Linked DNA regions of Neurospora crassa OR74A. The protein of the gene in region 4 interacts with the protein of the main gene of each other region in a pairwise test. Links are inferred from orthologs where the notes say so. Each region holds a gene or a part of one and is shown on either strand. Other genes may lie near its edges.

Region 1 (4,232 bases), on a different chromosome or scaffold from region 4:
CTGTGTTGTCCATTGTTAGCGACCTCCTCCATTGCCTCGACCTTGAACTGATACTTGAGACAATCCTTCACCGTGACAAGCCCCATCAGCTTGCCGTGGTACTCAATCAGGATCACACGCGGACCGATCTTGCGGAAGAGTTCCATGACGGTTTCGAGGGGGAGGCGCGGGTGAGCGGAGACGGGGGTGGTGTCTACGTAGCGGCTGAAGTTGATGAAGTTGGAGGATGAAGCAGAGGCAGTTGTGGATGGCTCGGCGAAGCCGATAGTGTTGAAGCTGTCCATGCGGGCGAGACCGGGTGTGATGATGTCAGTGCCAGGGGTGGTGACATCTGCGCTGGGTGGTGGAGCAAAGGTGCACTTGGCTTGAGGACTGAGTGTTCTCTCACGCTTTGCGCGGTCGACGGCATAGCGTAGCTCCGTACGGCCGATGTAGCCAACGAGGATTTTGGAGTGCTCATCTTCCACGATCGGGAAGCCTTGATAGTTGTCCTCGGCGAGAAGACCCTCGATTTGCTGGAGGGTCATGCCGTTGGTGGGGATAGATGTGACATCCTTGATCATGGCGTGCGAGACGGGTACGCCGAGGTTGTGGTCTTCCTTGTTGTCGAGGAAGGGGAAGCCGCTGAACCAGATCATGCGGTCCGCGATGCCACCTTTGCCGAACAGCTCACTGACGGCTTTGGTTACTCCAACGACAATCATGGTTGGCAGGATGTAGGTGAGGGCGCCGGTAAGCTCGAACATAATGACCACCACCGAAACAGTGATGTGCATGATGCCACTCAGAGCAGCGGCGGCACCAAGAAAGGCGTATGTTCCCGGCGTGATGCATGGCACATCGGGCAAGCAAGCAGCGAAGAATGGGCTTTGCGGGTTGGCTTCATGGAGTGCTTGGACAATGATGCCCACTGAGCGGCCAAAGGAGGCACCAATGGCCATAGACGGCACGAAAATACCGGCTGGGACCTTGCAGCCGTACGAAATAATGACGAAGAAGATACGGATGACGGTTGCTAGCAGCAAAGAAACCACGTTGCGAAAGCGGTGATCTCTCTCGCAGAGGCCTTGATAATCCTCAGCGCCTTCGCATTCAAGAAAAAGAATCTCCATGCTCTCGGTCATGTCGATTCTCAGAAAGCTGTTCGGATAACACACGATAGCCGTGGCAGCCGCCAACAGAGTAGCTTCGAGAATAGCGTAGTTGGTCAGGTACTTCTTGCGGAATGCTTGCACCCTGAGATTCCACTTCATGACGAAGGCACCGTATAGACCGCCAAAGATGCCCAGTAGAATAAAGAATAAAATCTCAAAAAAGTGCCACGATCTGTCGTAATGGACCTGAAACATGACCAATTGCCCAGTTCGGAAAGGATTCATGGCAGACAGGACGGCTGTTGCAACCAGAGCGCAGAAGTAGCTACGCCACATGGTCTTGAGAGGAAAATAGCTGGACATCTCTTCGAGCGAGAACAGCACACCTCCAATAGGGCTACCGAACGCGACAGCAACTCCTGCAGCAGCACAAGCGCTCAGGATCTCACGCGTCTTGGATGCATTTCGTCTATACTTGGCGAAGAGCCTCGATATGACATTTCCTGTGCACACAGCGTAGTGTACGCTAGGCCCTTCCTTTCCAACGGAGAGACCGGAGCCGATGGCAAGTGGTAGGGCCAGGGACTTGATGACTAGAGTCCAGAAACCGAGAAACCCCTTCATGACGAAGCCGGCGATGATGCATTTGATCTCGGAAATGCCAGAGCCGGCGGCATAGGGGGCATAGGACTTGACCAGGGTGGCTGATGTGCAGGCGAACAAAATCTAGAGCCTGTCAGTGAGGAGCTGGTCTTCTCAGATGGCCCGACGAGGGATAGGCAAGGATTACGAACCGCAAAGAGTATGTAGATCAAGTAGTTGATGGGTGAGAAACCCGTCCATTTTTGCCAGTCGTCGCAGCCGTTGTCCTCCCCCCAGCAACAGAAATTCTCATTCAGATAGAAGGCAGTCTTGCAATGGCCAAGCTTGATGTCGGCAAGCCATTCGGTGATAATGTTGAGAAAAGCAGCATTGACTCCAATTGCCGCACCTATGATGGTGACGACAATCCAGCCCTGGGCAGCATCATAGGACTCCCGTATCCTGTGTCGCCAGTCGAAGCGGCCGGCGTCCCAGAGCCCCGCATTTCTTTTTCGACGCGCCTTTCTGCGCAGTTGTTCTCGCGCCGCATCTTGCACCCAGTCTGTCGTCTATCGTCAGCGCCTGCCTGCCCGGCCGGTCGGGCGGAAGTGGTTCTGATGTCAAAGGTGTATCATACCGATGGTGGTGAAGTCCTACTCGGTCCATGTTAGCAGCCGCACAAACTAACCCGGTCGCATCGCACAACCCAAACTCTGGAGCAAGCGAAGCTAGCTGCTGACCTCGTATCGCTTGATCTGCGCAATTTCCTCCTCGATCTGATGTTGCGCTGCTACTCCTTGCGCCGTCTGGGCTTCTCCTTGTTCGGCAATGGACACGGCGTAGGAAAACCGGGAGCTGACGGACGGTCTTCGAGCGCGCTGGTTCGGGATCTGGGGCACTGACGTCGAGAACGACGTAGATCGGGGTTGCGAATTCATGGCGCCTGGGCCGCCTCTAGACATCATGTCGCTGGCATTCGGACTGAAGTAAGAAGTGCAAAGTAGGTGGGCGCTTCAAGTTGTCCGGGTTGTTTGCCGTTCATCAGTACCTACAGGTACTTAGTATCCATGTCATTGTCTTCCAGGTTGTCACTGTTATCGATTGCGCCTCCAACCGCCCAGGTGCCTGTAATCGCCCACTGAAGCTATCACTCAGCTGCAAGGCTGAACTAGAGGTAAGTGACGTCCCAACTCCAGCGCCCAGCTTCCGGGGTTCTGGGCTCTTGGCAGGCAACCTAGGTAATCCCTGAGCCGCCAAGGTGCCCGCCCCCTGGTACTGTACTACAGTACCATGTTATAGCCACCCATGGGGTTGTCTGGGAAAAGATGCAACACTTCTGTTAATCGCGTCTTTACGCGTTTCACTTTAACTTCTTGCCGTTGATCCGCTGGTTCGATATATACCATTCTCAGGACCAAGAAACGCTGGTTAGACTTTGATTGGATCATCCAGACGACCTACGATCACTTTTGACATATCGGCAATTAATCTTACAAACGGCTTGTCACACACTCGGTGTCGGCACCTACGAAACTCAGTCTAGAACGAAAAGTAGAACTGAACCCCAAACTGGTTTCTCCCTCACCTCAGCGATATAAAATCCACTCCGAACTTGGAATCACCTCGCACATTGTCTCCTGGAGATCTGCCGTTCTCCCTGCCAACAAGATGCCGTACAACACCACAGCAATTCCTCCCCGAAAGGAAGTCACAGGCCAAACCCAGCTGCCCCGTAAGGAAACCCAGCAGTCCCCTTGAACTTCCTCTCACGCATTCACTCCGTGTGAGTCTACATATACTAACAATTTCCTCTCCACCCAGTCACAAGGGTCAAAAAAATCATCGCCGTAGATCCAGACATCACAGTCTGCTCCAACAATGCCGCTTTCGTGATCACTCTGGCAACAGAAATGTTCATCCAACACCTCGCCTCCGAAGCCCAGAACATGGCCAAAGCCGAGCGCAAGCCTCGCCGCAACGTGCAATACAAGGACGTGGCCGCTGCCGTCTCCCACCACGACAATCTCGAGTTCCTTGAGGACGTGGTGCCCAAGACTTCTTCCTACAAAGCCATCAAGGCGCAAGCAGCGGCCGCCCGGGCCCGCGTCAAGGGCGGGAGCGACGTTGTGGTTCCTCCTGCGGGGACCGCCGCCGCGGTCGTTTTGGCGCCTGGACCGGTTATGGGAGGACTGGCAGCTCCCGAGGGGGTTATGCTATCTTTGGAGCAGGGACAAGTGGGTGATCATGGAGATGAGCGGGATAGGATGGCGATGCTGCCGAATGCCAAGAAGCAAAAGGGGTCCGGCGGGTTGCAGCAAACGTCCATCTTGATGTCTATGAATGGGGGGTTGCCTGCTGGTACAGGAAGCGGTGCTAGTGGAAGCATTGGAGGGCTGGCGGCGCCGGTGAATGGACTCGGTGCTGGCGGGGTTAATACCGGTATTACCAATATGGGTGTCACGACGGGTGTGGTGGGCATGTCGTCGGCTTCGGGACGACCATTTAGTTCTACTCCTGGTGTGATGAGCGGCATGAATAGGGGTATCTTGTCGGCAT
Region 2 (4,238 bases), on a different chromosome or scaffold from region 4:
CGAGATCATGAAGCGGATGGAGAAGACGAGCAAAAGGTTACTGAAAGAGTGGGGCGTGCAGCCATGGAAGCAGTTTGTGCCGTTTTTGGCCTTTCCCGGCTGGCTGGTGGGTATCGAGGCTTTGAGGAGGTTGTGTGGCGGACCGGTTGGTCTGTTGGGTATGTTTTTGGGGGCTAATAAGGATGGGAGGGCGGCGGCGGAGGCGGCCTCGAAGGCGGCGGAAACCACACAACAAGCAGTGTTACAAGCAACTGAAGCGGCCACAAACGCCACGCAGGCCGTCACGGAAGCATCCGTCACCACTACCACGCCCGTCGCCGACGCCATTGTCAACCCCCTAGCCAACATCCTCCCGGAATCCCTCTCCAGCTATTTCCAAAACACCCTCCCCACCACCATGGAGGGCTGCCTCTGGTTCCCCGACCTCATGGCCGCCGACCCTCTGCACATTCTCCCTTTCGTTCTTTCTTTCACCATGTTCGTCAACGTAATGCCTCGCAACCAAGAAGGGTGGTTGCGTCTCCTGAACCCCGGGACGGAGGACGTCAACCCAAACAATATTGGCGAGCACGCATCCAAGATCAAGCAGCAAAAGTCCGTAGGACTTAGGATGCAGCGGGCGCTGCTGCTGCTGACGCTGATCGTTGGGCCCGCCACCATCAACTTGCCGGCGGCGCTGCACCTGTACTGGATCACGACGAGTCTGACGAGCAACGCGATCACGAGCGTGGTGGCGGCCAAGATGCCGTTGCCGCCATATCTGGGACCGGCCAAGGGGAGGGGAGATGATCCGTATGTGAGACCGAAGCTGCCGGGGCTGGATTGGGAGCCGAATCACACAGCCGTAAAGAAAGTGATCTCGCAAGCCATGTCACAAGATAGAGCATAGCGGTTTTTGTACAGTATGTATGTAGATGTATGAGACATAAGATACCTATGGATGGATGATAGATGGACTGGCCGCCTACAGAGGCCAGATGGAAACTGTATAGCCAACAAGAGTCAAAAAAGAATGTAAGAACTCCGAAAACGCCTTTCCCCTGTCTTTGATCCCTCCCAGGCGTCTTTGCGATAACGAAATCAACAACAACGACAGCAACAGAAATAACAAAACCAACCATTACAGGATTACCCTGTCCTCCGGGCCATTCCCTTCCGTTTCATCATCAAAACATCATCAACAATCATATCCTTACTGTGTCCCGTCTTTCCGCATCCTGCACTTGTTTTTCATACCATGCCATATCATGTCCCACCCATTTAGCCCAAGAACACCGCCAACAAAACAATCGTCAAGATAACGCTCAAAATCAGCAACAAACAGCACGCCTTGCCCCTCGCATTCTTCTGATACCTCGCCGCACTCCTCAACTCCCTATCCGCCCCCGCCGTATCATCCCTCACATTCTCCACATTATTCGCAATCGTATCCAGCATCTCGCCCTGCTCGCTGACAATCTGAGCCACCTGCTGGAACAGCACATTCAAGTCGCCAACACCCTGCTCGATATTGCGAATCTCCTCTTCGCGCTCGAGGATGAGCGCATCCTGGAAATCGACATCGGATTGCGACGCGAGGTGGGTGAGTTCTTGCTCCTGATATTGCAGCAGCTGGGGTTCCCCGGACTCGAGCACGGGGTGCGAAGAGTGCGAAGGGTCGGTGGCGTCAATCACGGAGCGGGCGGCGGTTACTGAGGCTTTTTGCTTGTCGAGGGCGGTGCGTTGGAGGGATTGGAATTCGGAGAGGGAGGATTGGAATTCGCGCGAGAGTTTTTGTTGCATGTATTTTTGGGTCGGCTAGTTTTTTTTTGGGTATGGCGTGTTAGTCTACGGTCCGGCGCTTGGCAATGGAGGGGACGAGGAGTGGTGATAAGAGAGAGAGAGAGAGAGAGAATAGTAACGTACAGTGACATCTTCCCAGGTTTGCACCTTCTTGACGCCCCCGCCGACTTCCTTGAATAGATCGCGCGACTCCTCAATCAGCTCGTGGACTCGTTCCCGAACCCGTGGAGTATCGCGCCGCGTGCCGAGGTGGCCGACCTCGCCTTGGAGTCGCTGGTTGTTGCCGTTAAGCTTGAAGAGCTTGTTCATCAAATCTTGGGAGAGGCGCTGGAACTCGGGGTCATCGGTGTACTGGTTGCCACCGGTATTACGACGGCGCCCCGCCTCAAGGGAGGAGAGCTGATCGAATGACATGGTTGCTGGTGGTGGTTGTCGTGGTTGTGGTTGTGGTTATGATAGCAGATAGTTTGGCTTATCGGTGCCTGATGCGATGCGCAGGGTAGTGATTGATTGTCGTCGACGAGATGGGATTCGGTATGTACAAGTATGCGGTTCTTCAAGCAAATGGAAGCTGAGATGAGGCCCTTCGGAAAACGAGCGATTCGTCGGTGCCTGTTTTGTTGGTGATGTTTTTGTCAACAGGCGGTGGTGGTCCAAGGTTCCCTTGGGTGGATGGTTGTAAGTTGAAGCGCGGGAACCTAAGGTGACTTGTGACTTGTGATCTGGGACGACAATGCCGGGTCGCAAGTGGTCGCAAGTGGTTGCAATGGATTGCGTTATCCAGGCGAGCCAGGACACCACCAGTCGCTGTCCCTCAGTGGCTGCCCGCTGTGCGCTGTCAGCATCCACTGTCAGTTTCGAGGGAACTTCCATGTGGATCCCTGCCGTCCTGCCCTGCCGCTCCAAAGCTTCGGCTTGGCTTGTTGGAGACGTAATGGGGCATCTTGGCCAATCATGATACCGGGCCTTCAGCTCGTGTGGATCCAAAAAGAGTGACAGGCTGACGACAGCGCGTCCCCTCGTGTTTTGGGGACTACGGGAACTGGAAGCTTCAGTTCAGTCCAGTCCAGCGCGGCAGGCAGGCCCACCCCGTTTTTTTATTTACATACAACCAACTCAACACCTCATATCAAACCCGAAGCTGCTGCCTCAAGATCCAAATTGGGCTTTACTGACCTCAGCTTAATTTCGACGAGGACCAATCCCACCTCCCCCCTCCCCGCCCTCCCCCTCACGCGCATCACGTCTTCCAGACACCATCCACAGGCAAACAACTACCATAACGACGGCGGGACTGTCGACAATGTGCTGTGAAGATGGCGTCCGCATCTGTTAGACGACCGCCCTACAAGGACTTCCTCCAGCCTGCACTCCATCGCCGTTTTAGTACCACAGCCTTGATTCTGCTCGTCATCGCATATGTCTATGCCATTGGCCTGGCCAGATGGAACTCTTGTAAGCTGGCCAGCTACCTTCTGCTACCTGACGCGAACCAACTGACCATGCTGCTCTCCATCTAGTCCTCTGGTCTTGGTTTCCCATCGGCCCGACTGGCTTTCGCGCCGCCTTCTTCTGGTTCTCCGGCTCGCTCATCCTCATCCTGCGCATCGCACAATACCATCCCGGCTACCGAACATCCGACTCGGCTTTCGATACCTTCCTGAAGCATTGGCGCAACTTCTCAACCTTGGAGACCATCTTGACATATGCCTTCTCTGCCTGGCTGTTTGCCCAAGTCTACCTCCTTTCCCAGCCTAAGGACTCTGGGTTGGAATGGGTGACGTACCTGTCGTACGATAGACAGAGGCTGAACGAGAAGGCTGTCTTCATTACCACCCATCTTGTGATGCTCGGCGTCTACCAGGCCATCAGACATCTGTATTTGGACATTGACCGGCTCCTCTTGGGTGTCGCTAAGCCCTCAGAGAAGGCCGTCCGTAACAACAACAGTGATGTCGGCACCCTTATGAAGAAGTTCTGGGGTGAGATGCCTAGCATTTTCTTGCAGTCACTCAATCAAACGCTTGCCAGCCTGATATTGACTTTGGTCACCTACCCGTTCCTGCGCAAGGTGGTCTGGCGGCTGTCGCTCTTCTTCTTTCGCCCATTCTTCAACCTTCCAAAGACGAACTATGTGCCATATTCGTGGCCCGTCTCCTTCAAAAGCGCCACTTCGATCATCCTGGCTAGCACCATGCTCCTGATCGTTTGGATTGCTGGTAACACTGCGTTCACCATGTTCATGGTCAAGGAACCGACCAAGGATCAACGCCCTTTCACATCGGGGTCCAAGGATCCCAATGGCAGTCTCTTGAACGGACTCGGGCACAGAAAGTTGTTTTACAAGGTATGTTCGCTTGAATCGTGCACGTTGTCACGTACCTGATTGCTAATGGTCAAACAAGTGCTTCGCCATGTGGGAGTTGGCCCTGATTGCGCGCGATTTCCCGGAGAGA
Region 3 (3,884 bases), about 540 kb from region 4:
TGAGAGTATATGGATGGCTAATCATTGTGGGTGAATAGGTGCCAGCGAGATCAACATCTCGTGTGTTATCGACGCCAGAGACGCCGAGCGGGCTATGAATATCTTGCATACCAACTTGTTCACCTTCCTGGAGTAAAGGGGCAGCCTACTGCTGAGGGTGTAACAGAGTGGACTTTGTGTCGGTTTAGACGTCTCTGTCCTTATTTTTGCGGTGAGTTAGACGTGAGAGAGTTAGACGGTCCGAGAGAAAGAGAAGAGAAGACGGGTTTGAACCCACGGGGGAGGAGTGAAGAAAGAAGAAGAAGAAGTTGAATAGACGAGCGGTTGTCGGATGGAACCTGTATACCATCTAGGCAACACATAGCGAAGATTTACTTTGTTTTATTTACATGGGCATTTATATAGAGCATGGCAGGGAGGTTAACGAAAAGGGTTAATACAGCGCCATAGACAAAATTTACACAGGATGATCATCCAACGGACTTGGAAGTACCGGAGCCTTGTCTTAAAAAGTAGATTTGATCAAGCGTGAAACTGTTTACTTTTTGTTTTTCCCAAGCATGGCCATTACACACAATGCAAACAGGGTCACAACATGAAACTATAACAAACCTATTTGAGATAAAGGGGCCGTGGTCCTCATACCTCGGTTCTCATACCCCCGATTGTTGACATCTGTATAGTTGTCATACAAACCGGTTTCCCGGAATCCTTTCTTGATGTTCTCTCCCCATTTTTATTACATTACTACTTTCTTAAATTCCCTCTTTCTTCGGCTCACTCACCCCTTTCGCTGTACCGTGTAGTGGTTTCGGTTACCCGTCCGCCCATCAACTCGATTGTCCCACACATAACATCTTGAAGTTCGTCCCTTTTATGTCTCTCCCCACTCTCTTCAACCTCCATGTTTCTTCGGCTTGATAACCAGCAAAATAATCATACCCGCTATCAAAATCAACAACAGAAGTATAATCTTCCTCTTGGTTGTCTTCTTCTGGTACCCGGACGCAACCGTCAACTCCTTGGCCGCCTCCTTCACGTCCGTCGCCATCCGCTCCACGTTGTAATCGATCCGATCCAGCATCGTACCCTGGTCGATGACCATGGTCTGAAGATCCCGGAACAGATCGGACAGGTCGATGATGCCCTGAGCGATTTCGTCGATTTCGCGCTCACGCTGAGAGATCGCCTGGTCGTTGCTGTGAAGCAGCTTCTGGTGCGTTGACGCTTGTAGGGTCGACTGGGAGAAGACCCGGTCGGCGTCGGATTCGAGAATGGAGGCGCTGTTGGAGCTGTTGCCGGGCGGGAGGCCGCTGGGGCCCAGGAAAGAAGAGGTGGCTGAGACTCGGTCGAGGGTTGGACTGGCAAGGCCGCTCATGCCTCTTAGCTCTGAACAGGGAGTGTGATGTCAGCATGACTGTTTAAAGTCAGAGTCGAGTGGTAAGGAAAGTAGGGGGGCTCACTCTTTAGATATGCGCTCTGCTTTTTTCGAAAATTGGCGCTGGCCTCCTGGACTCTCGTGGCCAGGTTGATTTGTATGTTCTTGGCCATGACCTCGTCGGCGCGACTCATCTGGCCATTGTGTTTGCCCTCGCGCACCATCTGCTCGATGCGCTGGATGACGCGGTGGCAGTCGTGGAACCCCTTGGTGATGGACTGCGTAAGCTGCTCTATCTCACGTTCCTGGTCCCTCTTAGCCTCGTCGTCGTCAAACCCCGGCAGTACGTGCTTCTGATGCAACCGCTCCAGCTTCTGGCTCTTGCGGGCGATGTCGGCCAGCAGCTCCGCCACTTCGTCCGACGAATCCGCCCACCGAGGCGGAAGCAGGTCCATCTCGATCACCGCATCGCCGTCGTCGACATCGTAGGCCCCCGCGGATAAGAGGCCGCGCCGGTCATCGTCGGCAGAGAAGAGGACCCCCGTGCTGCTGCCAGCCCCGCCGGAAGTCCCGCCGAAGCGGTCGCCTGGGTTCTGAGGGGCATATCGGTTGCGCTGGGTCGGGTGGTGGGCGTAGGACTGCCGGTACGAGATATAGCTGTGATAGTCACATGGATGTTAACGAACGACTCTCATCTCCGGGGGGTTCAAGAGAGTTCCCCGTACAGATTAGTGCGGTCGCGCCACATGGCGGACGCCGGAAGGGCGAAAGGCTCCCTTCACCTCGGTTGCACGCCGAAGGCTAGTCGTCGTCTCGGTCAGAGGTGAGAGTCAATTGATGGTAGTTAGTGGTAATGGCGGTCCAGAGGCGGATTGGAATGGGTATGGCATCACATCGCATCGCATGGACACGGCTGTGTATGTGGTCGAGGTTGAGTTGCCAATGTCTCCGTCCCTGGTCGATCTTCCCGGGGGGAAATGTTTCTAGGCCTCTCTCTTTCACTACCTACCTACCTATGTAATAACAGCAACAGGGCCAGTAGCACTGGGCAGCTGCTACCACTGACAATGACGCTGACGCGGCGGTTCAGAAACACAATGCTGGCCAGTTCCAGGGATGGGGGGCATGAATAACATGGGATGCATGTCACCTGTCAGGCACTTGGGGCCCGCCAATAAGGGGTAGCCTTTGTCAGTGTCTCAAAGAGTCGGTCAGCTGGCAGCCTGGGGGACGGGAGCTTTCAGCCTGTTAACAGTCTGGCCCGTCTGTCCTGGGCTGGGGCTGACGACCTACACCTCCAGTGGTGATGTATCCCATGCAGAGGTTCCAGGTAGGTTGCAGCACCTGCGAGACGCCGGGATGGGCTCCAGGGCATCTTTAGTTTTAGTCTCATTTTAGCGAGTGTGTTACAGTTAGGTAGGGAGGGACCCCGCCCCGCCTCCCTCCACTCCATGCTTCGCAATCGGCGGCCCAGCTGCTCATTTAAGGAACGTCGAACTAGGAGAACGGGGACTTGGACCTACCTGGTAGGTAGCCAACGGGTCTCGTTCGTTTCTACTGGGGGACCTCCATATCTACCACTTCCAAACCAGAACACCTTCGAAATCCTCCTTCGAACACATCCAACTATCTCACACGCTCGCTCTCCCCAGACCCTCTATCCACCCCTTAATACTATATCAAGATGGTATGCTCATTCCTTATCTCGGTGCCTCCCGGTCGAATCTGTTTGAGCGCAACAAGAACCCCGCGGGTTAGCTCGAGGGGCTGCGGCCGGGCTGCGAACATACGATGATGGCTGGAAAGGAGACGGGTGACTGACAAGGCTATCAACAACAGGCGGACTCCCTTACTGAAGAGCAGGTCTCTGAGTTCAAGGAGGCCTTCTCCCTTTTTGTAAGTTGTTTTTCTTGCGCCGAGCTTCCTTGTCGCCTATGCTCAATCCCCTGTGTCGCCGTTTGGCGCAAATCGTGCGAGCCTGATGACTGACCCGACACAACGTGACACAGGACAAGGACGGTGATGGTTAGTCTTCCGAAACCCTACCCCCCCAGATATCCGAATTCATCCACCACCAAGTTAGCGGCAAGCGCCTTGGATCATAGTAGTTGCGACGCACCCAACGCTTCTCACCGCCCGCCCCTGAACCGAGTTGCGATGTGAATACGAGCCCTACCGTAATGCACGCATACTGAACAGCAGCTAGGCCAAATCACCACCAAGGAGCTCGGTACCGTCATGCGCTCGTTGGGCCAGAACCCCTCCGAGTCTGAGCTTCAGGACATGATCAACGAGGTCGATGCCGACAACAACGGCACCATTGACTTCCCTGGTATGATATAAACATTTCGGACTATGGACCTGCCAGCTCGCCGCTGACAATAGCCTATAGAGTTCCTTACCATGATGGCCAGAAAGATGAAGGATACCGACTCCGAGGAGGAGATCCGTGAGGCCTTCAAGGTGTTCGATCGCGACAACAACGGCTTCATCTCCGCTGCCGAGC
Region 4 (3,729 bases):
ATGGATGGATGGATAGAAGGATATGATGGCATGCAAACGAAACATCTAGGGGAAGGGAAAATGACGGCAAATGATGGACGTTATGAAAAAAGAGAAGGACGGTTGCCTGGGAAAAGGGACTTGAGCGACAGCTGTTGCTCTCTTTCTTGATGATGGTTGGAATGATGGTTGGAGGGATCACGACAGCGGAGGAGAATGTCAGCATGAACCGACTCCCGCGCTTCCCTTATGCTTTCTCTAAATAGGCAATGGACGACATACGGACTTGACCTACCGTAATTCTTCCGCTTGCTCCGTCATTTATAGCTGCCTGGTTTTGCTGCATGTGTTACTCGGTCTAGATTGCTTTCGAGGGCTAGGAATTATAACAGAAGTAGTTTATCTTCCTTATCGATACTTGCCTCTCTGATGTTCTGTGTGTACGGTGTTGCATTTCCAAATATGGTTTGAAGTGAATTAACCCTCGGCGCAGTGACTAGATCCAAAAGCATCTCCCCATGACGGCTTCAGTTCTCTGGTTATGGACCAGGCCAAAATGACGGGAAAATTCTTGTATTATCATTATTACACCTTTTATATTACCATGCCTCCTATTGTGGCGGCACAAACGGCTTAACCAACATTTCGCTAAACTTCTCCAGTTTCTCCTTACCACGGACCTCCTCCACGAGCAGCGGCATCTTGACAACGTTGAACTCGTCGTACAGCTCCTCGATCTGATCCAGGTACTTCTTTTGCATCTTCCTGCGGGCTGTGCACTGCTCGCAGTCTGACCCGGGCTTGGGAAACAGGAGCTGGTTGACCACGATGCTGTGGGTGTCGATCCCATAGCTGGCCAGCTCCTGGATCATGCGCTCCGTCTCGTACAGCGACAGGAATTCGGGGATGCACACGCACACGAACGTGGTCAGGCGCTCATCCTTGAACTGTGTGTTCACCTCTGAAATGGTGGCCCGCAATGTCTCGAGCTTCTCCATCATCTCGTTCAGGTTCTGGCCGTTGGGCAGCGTGCCGTTGGAGCCAAGGAAGCCGTTGAGCAAGGGGCCGTATTGCGAAGACAGCTGCGAGACCTTGGCCAGAGCCTTCTCGAGGACCGAGGGAAACTGCAGGAAGCGCAGCGTGTGGCCGGTCGGTGCCGTGTCGAAGATGATGGTCTCGTACGAGAGCGACTTGACTTGCTTGAGAACTTCGGCGAAGGACATGGCTTCATCGATACCGGGAATCTATGGCAGACCCAAGAGTCAGCATGTGTCATCCATCTAGCGCCTGATTATGTCACGCAATGCGCAAGGGATCCAAGGTCAACAACGTACCGCAAACGCCAAATCCTGCATCATGCCACCCACACCACCCATATCACCAGCACCCTCATTCTCGCCCTGGCCAGCCAGGAGATCCTGGATGCTACCGTTGGGGTCAATCTCCATAGCGCTCAGGTTGTCGAAACCATCGATCAGACGCGCCTCCTTGCCAAACTTTTGGCTAAAGGCATCACTGAGATTGTGGGCGGGGTCGGTCGAGATGAGCAAGACCGAACGGCGGACCTTGGCCAGCTGGATGGCCAGACTGCACGAGGTTGTCGTCTTGCCGACACCACCCTTGCCGCCGACGAAAATCCAGCGCAGCGAGCGCTGGTCGAGAATCGACTGGAGCGTGGGCTCCATGTGGTCATCGTCGGCATTTATGACTGCGGTAGACATGATTATTGATGTTGGAGCTTTGGCACTTTGCGCTTTTGGTATTACGATGATGGTTGTTGTTTCGGAAGAGATTAGATATGGCGTTCCACCGAACGGGTCGAGGTGAACTGCGCAGGTGTGCTGTTGTGTCAGGGGCGCCCGAACGAACGGAGGAGTGAGGTCTGGAATCAGTTCGAATCGCAAAGTCGACCTCCTTTTGGGACGCGATTGTCGGGTTCAGTTGGGGTCGGCACCACTGCACACCTCATCCCTCGTCCCCTCCAGTGAGAAGGGACAACGTCACTGGGCGTTGGTGGGGTAGCTGCCCTTGTAGCGCTAGAAACGGGCAGGCGCCCCTGTGCCTTATCGTAGAAAGCTTCTATGGTAGCGCACAGGTACATAACTACCTCTAGCGCTTTCCCCTTCTGATATGGAAAGCAGCAGCGTTCATGGGGGTGTAAACAAACCCCTGAATACCTCTAGGGCAGAAGTTGATCTTCGTTCCCTTAGTTAGCAATTCAGCTTTTCGCAGAGGGCCCGAGGGAACGCGTGGTTATCCGGCCCTAGAAGGTGGAGAACCATTTAAAGTGAACAGTAGTGTACACATCTCACTTCTCTTCCTTCTCGGGTGCGGATGGCATTGTGATGTGCCGCAATATGACCACGAGGATCGCCAAGGTAGGCATCAGTATGGCAGACGCGATACATAGACCCCTGGCTACCTCACAGGAAGACACGCCTATCTCTAGCCAAGCTCACCGGCTCCGGAAGCTATATCTGAGACCAGAATACTATGAAGTAGGTTTATGGTTTCAACGCCAATGGACAACCTGTGAAGATGTTCATCGACAACCTGTGAAGATGTTCGTCTAGGCTTGAACAGATATGGGATTTTGTCCAGATGGATTCCTGTCATGTACAAATTAGTAAGCTACGATCAAAAAGGGCCCAGCGCCGTTGAGGTCATGTTCTCACTTTGCGGGGTATTCCTTAGTCCGGGGGCAGGTTCACCCACCACGCTTTGTTCTGTCCTTCTTATAGCCGTTCCGCGGTACACGATATCCTGGACGTCTACGCAGTAGATGTGAAACTGCAGGCTCAAAATCCCCGGCGTGGCAGCCAATACAATGCAGGATACAAGACTGAATGGTTGATCCAGTACCTCCAAAGGTCTCCGTCCCCGCATGCGTCCTGGTCCGAAAAAGAGTTTCGGAGCCACATCCGAAGGCCATGCGCACTACATGTATAAGTACCTAGATGGACACCACTGCAATGCGCGTCCCCTGGTTCGAGCCTCAATTCCTTTTGAACGATCAGCCAGAACCAGAAAGGCTCGAGCCTCGCCCGCCCTCATTTGCCGTGGCCCACCGGCTGTGCGCTATTCTGACCGCCGTGGCATCGATGCCCTTGGTGGGTGGGCAGCGCTAAGTAACAGGGATGAAGCCGTTGAGCTTCCAAACTGCAAGCCTAATTGTGTTGCCATTCATGGTTGAGGAGACAGTCCAGCCTTGACAAAACCCGCTACCGTGACTTTTTTTTTTTTTCTCTTCCACCCAGAGTAATCAAATCTTACTTGTTTTTGGGACGACACTATCCTCTTACTGAGTCTTATACTACCTCACAGCTCACGATATCGAAATCCCGGACCCCAGTCTCGTTTCACGGCAGCAGCGAGGCAACACTCAGCAGACCGTGAACCAAATCCACCGAGCGACTACAGTGCAGAAGAGACAACAGGATACCTCTACCGATCTCAGCCATCACTTTGTCAAGTTCACGGCATCTACGGGCATCTGGAGGCATCAGTGTCACACTGCCACTCACTCACGGGCTGACATTGAGACACACGCAGCACGGTCCAGCCAAAGACTCTGGGGAAGGGTAGGGTGTCGTCTTGTAGACAAAGCTTCAGCTCCGAGCCGACACCTTTGTTGTTAACTGAGCGGCAACTGCTAGCGAGAAGGAAGACGCGAGGAACAAGGTTCCTGCTCCTACACTCAGGATGGTGGACCGCAAGCCTTCGGAAGCTGCGCCGACCACGAGCGGAAGA

The links. The genes of interacting proteins can lie anywhere in the genome.
Region 1: the proteins of NCU06717 (region 4) and NCU06624 interact in binary tests that used the Saccharomyces cerevisiae proteins (3 or more experiments, as listed by UniProt). The link is inferred for Neurospora crassa OR74A from reciprocal best matches to the Saccharomyces cerevisiae genes GET3 and GEF1.
Region 2: the proteins of NCU06717 (region 4) and NCU06777 interact in binary tests that used the Saccharomyces cerevisiae proteins (3 or more experiments, as listed by UniProt). The link is inferred for Neurospora crassa OR74A from reciprocal best matches to the Saccharomyces cerevisiae genes GET3 and PEP12.
Region 3: the proteins of NCU06717 (region 4) and NCU04119 interact in a two-hybrid assay, tested with the Saccharomyces cerevisiae proteins (2 studies listed by BioGRID). The link is inferred for Neurospora crassa OR74A from reciprocal best matches to the Saccharomyces cerevisiae genes GET3 and TLG2.

The regions. Positions count from the first base shown.
Region 1 is NC_026504.1:1,836,733-1,840,964, reverse strand, and holds the start of NCU06624 (CLC voltage-gated chloride channel protein), read right to left. Parts: upstream 2,805-4,232; 5' UTR 2,642-2,804; coding exon 2,417-2,641; intron 2,330-2,416; coding exon 2,314-2,329; exon of another isoform or gene 2,239-2,313; coding exon 1,889-2,238; intron 1,821-1,888; coding exon 1-1,820. Other genes in the region: NCU06623 (hypothetical protein), read left to right, coding at 3,345-3,408, 3,498-4,232. UniProt on the Saccharomyces cerevisiae protein: Anion/proton exchange transporter involved in iron and copper cation homeostasis. Involved in intracellular iron metabolism during growth on fermentable and non fermentable carbon sources.
Region 2 is NC_026502.1:1,962,463-1,966,700, forward strand, and holds the start of NCU06777 (syntaxin), read right to left. Parts: upstream 2,805-4,238; 5' UTR 2,197-2,804; coding exon 1,906-2,196; intron 1,798-1,905; coding exon 1,261-1,797; 3' UTR 890-1,260; coding exon of another isoform or gene 1-889. Other genes in the region: OXA-2, read left to right, coding at 1-889; NCU06776 (hypothetical protein), read left to right, coding at 3,099-3,237, 3,303-4,129, 4,188-4,238. UniProt on the Saccharomyces cerevisiae protein: Plays a role in the sorting and targeting of vacuolar proteases.
Region 3 is NC_026505.1:4,908,379-4,912,262, forward strand, and holds NCU04119 (SNARE complex subunit), read right to left. Parts: upstream 2,457-3,884; 5' UTR 2,127-2,456; coding exon 2,104-2,126; intron 2,036-2,103; coding exon 1,464-2,035; intron 1,390-1,463; coding exon 896-1,389; 3' UTR 505-895; downstream 1-504. Other genes in the region: NCU04118 (aspartokinase), read left to right, coding at 39-136; cmd (calmodulin A), read left to right, coding at 3,063-3,065, 3,218-3,274, 3,388-3,403, 3,585-3,710, 3,771-3,884. UniProt on the Saccharomyces cerevisiae protein: t-SNARE that functions in transport from the endosome to the late Golgi and on the endocytic pathway.
Region 4 is NC_026505.1:4,372,227-4,375,955, reverse strand, and holds NCU06717 (arsenical pump-driving ATPase), read right to left. Parts: upstream 2,260-3,729; 5' UTR 1,701-2,259; coding exon 1,314-1,700; intron 1,224-1,313; coding exon 591-1,223; 3' UTR 511-590; downstream 1-510. Other genes in the region: NCU06716 (short chain dehydrogenase/reductase), read left to right, coding at 3,682-3,729. UniProt on the Saccharomyces cerevisiae protein: ATPase required for the post-translational delivery of tail-anchored (TA) proteins to the endoplasmic reticulum. Recognizes and selectively binds the transmembrane domain of TA proteins in the cytosol.